2 linked regions of the Cricetulus griseus genome follow. The protein of the gene in region 1 binds, or shares a complex with, the protein of each later gene. Links are inferred from orthologs where the notes say so. Each region holds a gene or a part of one and is shown in the gene's direction. Other genes may lie near its edges.

Region 1 (5,138 bases):
GGGCACACTCTACGACAATGCCACTGCACAAGAGTGACACAAAACAGCAGACTCAGAGTCTGGAGCACTGTGAGAGAAGTCACATGCTGAGCTGAGAATGAGGAAGGAACTTCCACATCCTCCTCCATCTGGACAGAGCAGAACATCTGGGCCTGAACAGGGGAAAGATGATTAAACTCTGACACAGTAGAATCTGCAGCAGATGGCCTCTGGGATCCACAGCAAAAAGGGAAAGAAAAAAAAAAAAAAAAAAAAAAAACACAAAAACAGGAGCGATATGATGGAAGTTCAGCAAAGATACATGTCTCCTTATATTTTATGACACATCTCAATTTTATATTGATTTGGGGTCTTGCTATGGAGCCTAGGCTAGCTTCAGGTTTGCAACAATCCTTGTGCCTCAGGTTCTCAGGTGCGGGGAGTTCAAGGTTAGCCTGGGCAATTTAGTGAGACCCTATTTCAAAAATTTTTTAAACATTTTGGTGTAAGATGGCTCAGTTTTCAAAGACAGTGCCTTTTTCTCAGAACCTTCTCCAACTTCACCAGCTCCTGTCTGGCATTATGATCCATCCTCCTGCCTCAATTTCAGACTAGAGGGATCCCAGGATGCACTGCCATTTCTGGCTAGGAGCCAACTCTTAAAGGCATATGGTGTGGTAGGCCCAACCTTCAGGGCAGAAAGAACAGCAAGTGTAGGACCTGCTGAGAGGGAAATGAGAGCAGGCCACGGTGACCAGAGCAGAGGTTGTACAGAATAATAGGCATCGAAGCGAGAAGGCAGCCAGGGATGTCAGGCCACAGAAAGCTAGTCTACTTTATGTTATGCTTCCCTAGGGAGGTGCTAATTGTGTGGGAAGACGTTTGACCACGCTGAGGAGCAACCCACCAGGAGTATGAATAGATCCAAGCTATGACGGGAGATGGAACTCAAGATGTGTCTGAAATTAAAATAGGCTAGTCATGAAACGAAAGAATATTTATTTATTTATTTATTTATTTATTTATTTATTTTGGTTTTTTGAGGCAGGGTTTCTCTGTGTAGCCCTGACTGTCCTGGAACTCGCTCTGTAGACCAGGCTGGCCTCTGCCTCGTGTGTGCTGCGATTACAGGCGTGCGCCACCACCGCCGGGCCTATTTTGTCTTACTTTCAATGAGCAAACAGAAATCTCCGTTGAAAAATGAGGCTTAAGATCTGTGGAACAAGGGTTTGAGCCCTGGCGGCCATCGCGAAGTTCTAGCAGCCCGGACCACGGTCTCTCGCCACCCCTCACCCTGCAGACAACCGGCACAGGGAACGAGCGAGGACACCTCCAGCGGAGGGCGGTTCAACCCGACCAAAGCCAGACAGGAGCCAGCAAGAGCCGCGGGGCATTGTGGGAGGCAAAGGGGCCGAGGCAGCCGCGAAGCATTGTGGGACACCGCGGGGCCGACTCCTGCTCCCCGCCCCAGCTTCCCTCGCACCGCGCGCCGCCACGTTTCAGTTCTGAATCGCTCGAGGCGTCCGCGGATGCCGCTGACGTAACCAGCCCCACTCCTGTCTCTCACCTCAGAGAATAATGAGGACTAAGCCAGTGGCCGTGACAAACTTCCGGTTGTGTCTTCGCTTTACGGCCCGACGTTTTTCCGCTGACTAAAAAGGAAGTGGTAGCGCCGTTTACGACAGCGCCGGTCGCGGTTTACGGCGCCGGCTCTTGCGCGCGCAACTTTCCTGCTGTCTTGGTTCCTCGGAGAATCGAGAATATCGCAGTCTCTGACCCGTGCCATCTCTCGCCATCCGGGCCTGCGGAGCCCACTGCAGGTGAGCGGCTTGCTTTGCAGAGACCTGTGGACCTCGCGAGCCACCCTGGGCTAGGCCTGGCTTCGGGGGCCTCCCGGAAGAGCCTTCCTTTACGTCCTCTCCTGTCGTCGCCCCAGGGCGGGGCGGGAATCTGCCTTGGGTGGTCCCAGGCGCGACCCTGTTAGTGCAGGACACCCCACACGGTGTGGATCCCTCACCCGATGCTAAGCCCAGAGCCGTGGGGACGAAGTGTCCTCCTCCGGGGGCTTCGAACAGTTTCCGTCTCTGCTCCGAAGTGGGCGACTGAGAGGAGTGTGCTCCACCCTGGTGTGAAACCGAGCCCAGGACTTCGTGGCTCTTGTCTGTAGTGTCCACAGTGATCCGCACCGTATTGTGGTTAGTACAGCTGTCGCATCGTTTTAGTTTTCCCCTATCAGTGACCTTCTGGTTCTCATGTGCGGAAGCCAAAGGACTCCAAACCCCTGCCCATCCGGGGAGATGATGCATGTCAAGTCTTGGACTATCTTGAACTTGTGACAACTAAAATTACAGTTGCTTTTGAGGTGGTATTGTGAGTATGTCTTAAAGGCCCAGGTCGTCAGGCTGTCCCTAACTGCAATGTAGCCAAAGAAGGCCAGGCTTAGGCAGACAGCCTTGGAAACTGCCTTTGAGATGATGGGCAGATGGACTGCTTAAGTTATGAGAGCCAACTTTCTCAGAGATGATGGTTTGAGGAAGCAGTGGTGCCTATCTATCCAGCACAGTTCCAATACTTTGCTGGGGGCTCTTATTTCATGTGAGCTGTTCAAAGGCCACACGCTCCCCCATGTTCTCTTCCTACATACAGCTTAGCATAAGTTCTTATTTGGGGATGCAGGTCCCAAGTTTATTCCTTGTTGCTGTCACCTAAATATCTTAAGCTTTCCTATGGTGGAGCAAGGAGGAGAGATTACTAAACTCTCTGGACATTGTCAGAAGGTAAGACTTAGTCTAGGCTTAGAGACGTTGGGTATTGGGTGCCCAGGTGAGAGTGTTTTTGAGGGAACTCATCTCACTTTTATCATACTTCATGAATCTGAGGTAGCTCTGTCTTATGTTATTCTAAGAAAGAAAAGACAAGATGTGACAGCCATCAAGCATAAGGCATGGCCTCATTTCAAAGATAGTCACCAAAAAAGAGCAAGTCCTAGAATTAATGAGACACAAGAAAATGTGGCTGGTGTCGACAATGTTCTGAGTTTTAAGTGTTCTTAGAGTGGTTTACAAGAAAGCTGTCCCTGCTGCTCCAGAGCCCAGGGCTCTGCGCTTTGTGTGTGCCTCTGTGGTGCAGCTTCAGTGGATCACGGAGTGTTTGGGACTTAGTGGCCTTTCCTTATAAAGCTGTTCACAATGCTTGTGTTTTAAGGTTTTAGACAATGGCGAAGTTCATGACTCCTGTGATCCAGGACAACCCTTCCGGCTGGGGCCCCTGTGCAGTTCCTGAACAGTTTCGGGATATGCCCTACCAGCCTTTCAGCAAAGGAGATCGGCTGGGGAAGGTATTGGGTCCCTTCAGCTGGGGTAGCTACTCCACAGCTCCTCACATCCTTTTTGCTCTCTTGGTGGCTATGCTTCCTTTGGGGACACCAGCCAAAGGCCAGAGCGGGTAGCTGATGCAGAAGCATCAGAGGTGAAGCTGATGACGTGTTCACTCAGCCTCCCTTGCTATCTTGAGTTTCTGAGTCAGCAGAGGCCTGCTCACCTGACCTCTTGTCTTCATCACACCTAACAGGTTGCAGACTGGACGGGGGCCACGTACCAAGACAAGAGGTACACAAGTAAGTATTCTTCAGTGAACTATCCACATTTAGGCCTTGGGAAGATTGTTGCTTTGTTCAGTGAGCTCCACACTGAAAAGGAATGCTGATGATAGTTATTGGGGTATATTTTAAATGTGTGCCCTAATATTGGTTTTGGAAATAGTCCCAGAAGTTAAATTGTTAATTATTATAGGGGTGACAGCCAGACTCCTAGACATGTTGAGTGTGCTGCCGTTTGCATTTATTGCTTGGGACTTCCTGAGGCCATCAGTCAGTGGGCTGCCCCGGTTTTAAGGTTCTGGTAAAGGAACGTGCTTTTTTTTGCACATTAAGAGATTGGGGTGGGGAGAGATGCAGAAGAGGAAGAGAGAGAGTAAAGGGAGAATTACGGGTCAACCATTGGAAACAGAGCGCAGAAAGTGCTTTTCTTGGTGCCAGTTAGATGGTTGGAAGTAACTTCGGGAATACTAAGTTAAGGTGGATGAGGTCAGAAAGAAAGTTTATCATGGTCGATGATAGTGTCCATGGCTCCTGTGATGGCAATGGTGGTACACTCCAGATTCTTAATTGTCCAAGGCAGAGGTGAAGTGGGTTAACTTGAGATGCTTGGGCTCTCTTGGTAAGTTCTTTAGACTCAAGCTCTTAAAACTTAAATGTGTGTATGAATCACCTGGGATCATGTTTAAATACAGGTTCCCATCTGTCAGGTCTGGACAGGGGCAGTAAGTCTGCACACCTCACAAGCTCTTGGCTGTGGTCCCCAAAAGTGCTGCAGGTCCCAAAACCACGCTTGAGAGAGCAAGGCTCAAGACTGCCATGTGTAGCCTTTAGGGAGCACTTAGCACACACTGTCACCTTTGCCTGCAGACAAGTACTCCTCTCAGTTTGGTGGGGGAAGTCAGTATGCATATTTCCATGAGGAGGATGAGACGAGCTTCCAGCTAGTGGACACGGCGCGCACACAGAAGACTGCCTACCAGCGGAACCGGATGAGATTCGCACAGGTAGGCCACGGGCTGGCAGCCTAAAGTGCCTTGGAGGAGCTCTTACTGTGAGAATTTCTGCTGCTTAGCAACTGTCTTGGAAACACCAATGAGACAGGAAATTGCAGGCCTCTGTCCAATCCCAAGTGGCCATTCAGTGACTGGGTTTTAACAGAATAACTTTTCCAAGGATGTTTTGAAGGACTTTAGATTTCTGTTTACAGTAGGTCAGACATCACACAGCTGTGCTAGGAACCTATTTTCTCACTTAATTGCAACATACAGGCTTTGTTAATTAGATGGTTTGGTTGGGTACTACATTAAGATGCAAACTTAGCAACTCCAGTAAAACCAGTAAACCTACATTAGTGGAAATGAGTCCAAGCTAACACAAGTGCTTCTCCCCAAATACTGTGGAAGCTATAGAGTAAAAGAACAGAGATGAGAAACTGGGGACTTCACACCCTAGATTTGCTCTCAAGATACCAATAAGCTATGACTCTTAAGAGGGTAACACGGGTCTCTTCCTGCTTCCAAGCGGAACCTCCGTAGAGACAAAGATCGCCGGAACATGGTGC
Region 2 (4,404 bases), about 1.1 Mb from region 1:
CGTAACTTCCATTTTGCTACTGTTAAAAAAAAATTATGTCAGTTTTTTTGGAGATAGCTGTTTGCAAAAAGCATTGAGAACCACTGGACTAGAGGCATGTTAATTAGCTGAACTTTGTATCCCAGAAACAAACAAGGTTCAAATCTAAAATAATGTCATTGCTGTTAGTATTTAGGCATTTGTACTGGCCTACCTTTGGAGTTCTGACAGGATACCCCCTCAACTACTGCTCCTAAGAGCACCACCTGTGCCTGTTCACTATGCTCTCTTTTAAAAGGGTCCTGCCCACCTCACATCCTTCTTTCTTTCGCTCCCTCTATCTGATCCTTTCTCTCTCTCACTCTCTTCCTGCATCTCTTTCCTCTCTCCTCTGCTTCTGTCCCCAGAGGTCAGTCTCCCCCTCCCCTTTCCCCCCTTTACCATCCTTTTTTCCTAATAAAAAAAAACCCTCTGCATGAACTCTGTATAGCATGTCATCTTTCTCTCAAACCACTTTTTAAAAATTACTGCAATAACTACTAATGATAATAGTAGCTATTAGCATATATTATCAGTGTAGGCCAAGCAGTGTTGGAGTATTTTTGTGTGTTTGCTACTTGCCTGTATTGGTAATCCCATGGTGCAAATTCTATGGTTTTTCTCTTTTCACAATAGAGGAAACATCATAGAAATGAATCATAGCTAGCATTGTACATATGCTGTGTTCGGAACCGCACACTCTGATCCCGGATCCTAATGTCTGAACTGTTCAGCCTCACAGTGCAGACCAAGCTCCAGAGTAGTGATGAGGAGATGCCCTGATAATAATGAATGCCAGATGTAAGATGAGTCAGCTAGGGACAAGACAGAAAATACTTCAAGCAAGTTCTGGGAGGATGGGGTGTGTGCGCCAATGACCAGACACCTGTTGGATCAGTGAGCGGGAGTTGAACTCTATTCCCACATTGCTAAAGGTCCATAGAGGAGATCTGGGTTGAGGAAAGTCTTAGGCTTGGGGAGGGAGTGGGGCTCAGGCTCTGTTTCTGTGGTATCTCCCACGTCTCTGAGTCCTATACATAGAATTTGAGGGTTGGGTCCTGAGTCTTGCTTTTTTAGTTGTGAATTGTTTTTGCTTGGCTTTCAGCTGGACCAAACTAACTGAAAGATTCTTCAAGAATACACCATGGCCTGAGGCAGAAGCCATTGCACCCCAAGTTGGCAATGGTAGGTATAAATGCTGCGTGTCACAGGTGCTGGATAGCAGATATTAACAGAAAGATCACAGAACTTATATGTGTTTCTTTTTCTGTTTTTGTTTGTTTGTTTATTTTTGGTTTGTTTTGTGTTTTTCCAGCCATGGTTTTTCTGTGTAGCCCTGGCTGTCCTGGAACTCACTCTGTAGACCAGGCTGGCCTCTAATTCACAGAGATCTGCCTGCCTCTGACTCCCGAGTGTTGGGATCAAAGGTGCGCACCACCATGGTTGGTTTGTGTGTTTACTTAACATTTTAGTTCTCCAGAGCTTAAGATGTAGGTTTGTAGTAAAATTACATGGTAAGAGAAAGCTGTACAATTTGAGCTTTCCCAGATAAGGAGTTTTCTTTTCCCTCTTTGGGGGTGGGGTGGGGTGAGGTGGCTATTGAGTCACTTTGGTTTGGGCTTATTAGCCCCTCACCTCTCACTTTCCTTTTCTGTGTGATGGGGATCCTTTTAAGGCCACTGATAACATGGTGAGACCCTGCCTCAGAGAGGAAGAGAAGGGACAGGTGATTAGGACATTAACAGTAGAATGGAACACAATTTTCTCTGGGTGTATACATTCTTCTTTCTGTTGAGGCAGGAACTCACTGTGTATAGCCCAGGCTGTCCTGGAATTCACTGTGTAGAACAGACTGACCTCAAACTCACGGACATCTCCTTGCCTCAGCCTCTTGAGTGCTGGGACTAAAGGCGCACACTACCACTCTGGTGGGTGCATAGGTTCTTGGGGCAAAAGCTTAAGAGTTTAAAACAGCATATCTCAACCTATGGATGGAGATTCCTTAAGGAGGGGTTAAACAACCATATCACAGGATTCATCTGTAAAACCATCAGGAAACACAGATATTTATGTTGCTGTTCATAACAGCAAAATTATAGTTATGAAATAGTGAAATAGTTTTGTGGTGGGGGTCACCACCACATGAGACACTATATAAAAGGGTTGCAGCATTAGGAAGGTTGAGAGCCACTGGTTTAGAAGTTTAACTTCGATGGGCGGTGGTGGCGCACGCCTTTAATCCCAGCACTCGGGAGGCATAGGAAGGCAGATCTCTGTGAGTTCGAGGCCAGCCTGGTCTACAGTGTGAGTTCCAGGACAACCTCCAAAGCCACAGAGAAACCCTGTCTCGAAAAACAAAAAACAAAACGAAAAAAAAAAAATTTACCTTCTAGATTACCTCTATCCTTCCACTGGAAGGCTGTGGCTGCAGGATACACCAGTTGGTTTGTAGTTTAACGAAGTACCCTTTTGCTATGTCTTTTAGATGCTGTATTCTTAATTTTGTACAAAGAATTATACTACAGGCATATATACGCCAAAGTCAGTGTAAGTATTTTACATTAATGTTGGTGTTACTAATACTTTTGTAAACTGTGTCAGTTTCATCTAGAATAGTCTCTAGTTGTATTTGTTCCATGTCTAAAGCTGCTTGGTATGGTTTTGTCTTTTTTTTCTTTTTATATTTTATGTGTGTGTTTTGCTTACATGTATATCTGTGTGCCATGTGTGTGCCTGGTGCCGACAGGGATCAGAAGGCATCAGATCCCTTTGAACTGGAGTTACAAACTGTTGTGATCCACCATGTGGATGCTGGGAATCTAACCCTCATCCTCTGCAAGAACAAGTGTACTTAAACACTAAGCATTTCTCCAGCCATGCCTACGCCACTCCTACCCTGTTGGTTGGTTGGTTGGTTTCAACTACCTCACTCCCTACCCCCCACCCCCACCCCCAATTTTCAAGACAGGGTTTCTTAGTGTAGGTCTGGCTGTCCTGGAACTTGCTTTGTAGACCAGGCAGGACTTGAACTCACAGAGATCCGACTCCCTCTCCCTCCCGAGTGATGGGATTAACATACACACACACACACACACACACACACACACACACACACACACACACACACACACACACACACACACACACACACACACACACCCGTTTTAACTATTTTAAAGAAATGCAAAAGAATAGTTTGACCAGCAAAGCTGGTGCCTGTTGTGGACTCTTGACACCACTGGAACTTGTCTGCCCTTAATGTCTCTACCATCCCAGTCCTCCTTTATGAGGGCTTAGAGTCCATCATGCTTAGGAAATCCAAGGTTAGATCCATGGCCCTGCTGCATCTAGCTGACGGGTTTGCCGTAGCATTTACTGTGACCGTCGCCTCCCTTCCTGGATTCCTAGCTGTGTTCAGCTCTTCAAAGCACCAGTCACTAGCACAATGTCTTGTTGGCTCACTTGGGTCTCTTTGCTTTTCCCACTAGGATATTAGCACTACTGGGCTTTGGGCTCTGTTTTGCTCACTGCTATCATTCAGTTCCTGGAATGATGACAGATTTGCCACCAATGACATAGTCATTGCTTGAGCGTGGATCAATGAAGGATACTGACACCAGCAGCTCTTTGCAAGCAAGGGTCTCCACCTGTGGCTTGACTCTCAGTGACTCCTCCTCAGTCCTTAGGACCACTTGATCTGCCTGGAGCTCCCGTCCTGGCTGTAGGTGCTACCAGCAATGGCAGCTGGAGGAGTTTCTGGGGCTGTCTTACTGCATTCCAGTGGGATCTCTGCTACCTGAGAGAAAGCAAGGATTCCTTACTGCCATTAATGCTAAAGGTCAGCCATGTGTGGCTAGACTGAAGATAGCCATGGTGTGTGTGTGGCTACTTAGGGAAGACAGGATATAACTGGACTTCATTTCTTCTGTCTGGTCTGTAGACTAGAAACTTAGCAGTTCATTACCACCTGGAATCTTTGGTAGGTTCTAAACTGGCACTGAGTGTGACCAGTTTTAAACTCCTGGAGATTTTTCTTTGAATGATTAGATGATTTTTATTATTTATTTATTATTTGTTTATTTGTTTTTGAGGTAGGGTTTAACTATGTAGCACTTGGAACTCAGTATGTGGCCCATGCTGGCCCAGCTCTGGATGAACATGTTTTTGGTATAAAATAACTTACACACACATCCCGCTTTTCTTTTTCTTGAGCAAAGCTTTTACTTTGTAGCCCAGGCTGGCCTTGAATTCATTATCTTGCCTCATCCTCCCATCTGGGGGATGGTAATCATCACCACCACATTGCACTCTACACGATCTTGTTTAAGTCTGAGTAGCCCTGATTAAATACCTTGTCAGAACCACACAGTTAAGATAGTGGATAGA

The links. Proteins that work in one complex are often made in the same cells at the same time.
Region 2: Eif3d (region 1) and Eif3l share a complex: the UniProt entries of both Homo sapiens proteins name them as parts of the eukaryotic translation initiation factor 3 (eIF-3) complex. The link is inferred for Cricetulus griseus from reciprocal best matches to the Homo sapiens genes EIF3D and EIF3L.

What each region holds. Positions count from the first base shown.
Region 1 is NC_048595.1:375,066,801-375,071,938, reverse strand, and holds the start of Eif3d (eukaryotic translation initiation factor 3 subunit D), read left to right. Parts: upstream 1-1,644; 5' UTR 1,645-1,799; intron 1,800-1,915; exon of another isoform or gene 1,916-2,174; intron 2,175-3,183; 5' UTR 3,184-3,193; coding exon 3,194-3,316; intron 3,317-3,549; coding exon 3,550-3,595; intron 3,596-4,444; coding exon 4,445-4,581; intron 4,582-5,098; coding exon 5,099-5,138. UniProt on the Homo sapiens protein: mRNA cap-binding component of the eukaryotic translation initiation factor 3 (eIF-3) complex, a complex required for several steps in the initiation of protein synthesis of a specialized repertoire of mRNAs.
Region 2 is NC_048595.1:376,190,318-376,194,721, forward strand, and holds part of Eif3l (eukaryotic translation initiation factor 3 subunit L), read left to right. Parts: intron 1-1,123; coding exon 1,124-1,203; intron 1,204-2,503; coding exon 2,504-2,565; intron 2,566-4,404. UniProt on the Homo sapiens protein: Component of the eukaryotic translation initiation factor 3 (eIF-3) complex, which is required for several steps in the initiation of protein synthesis.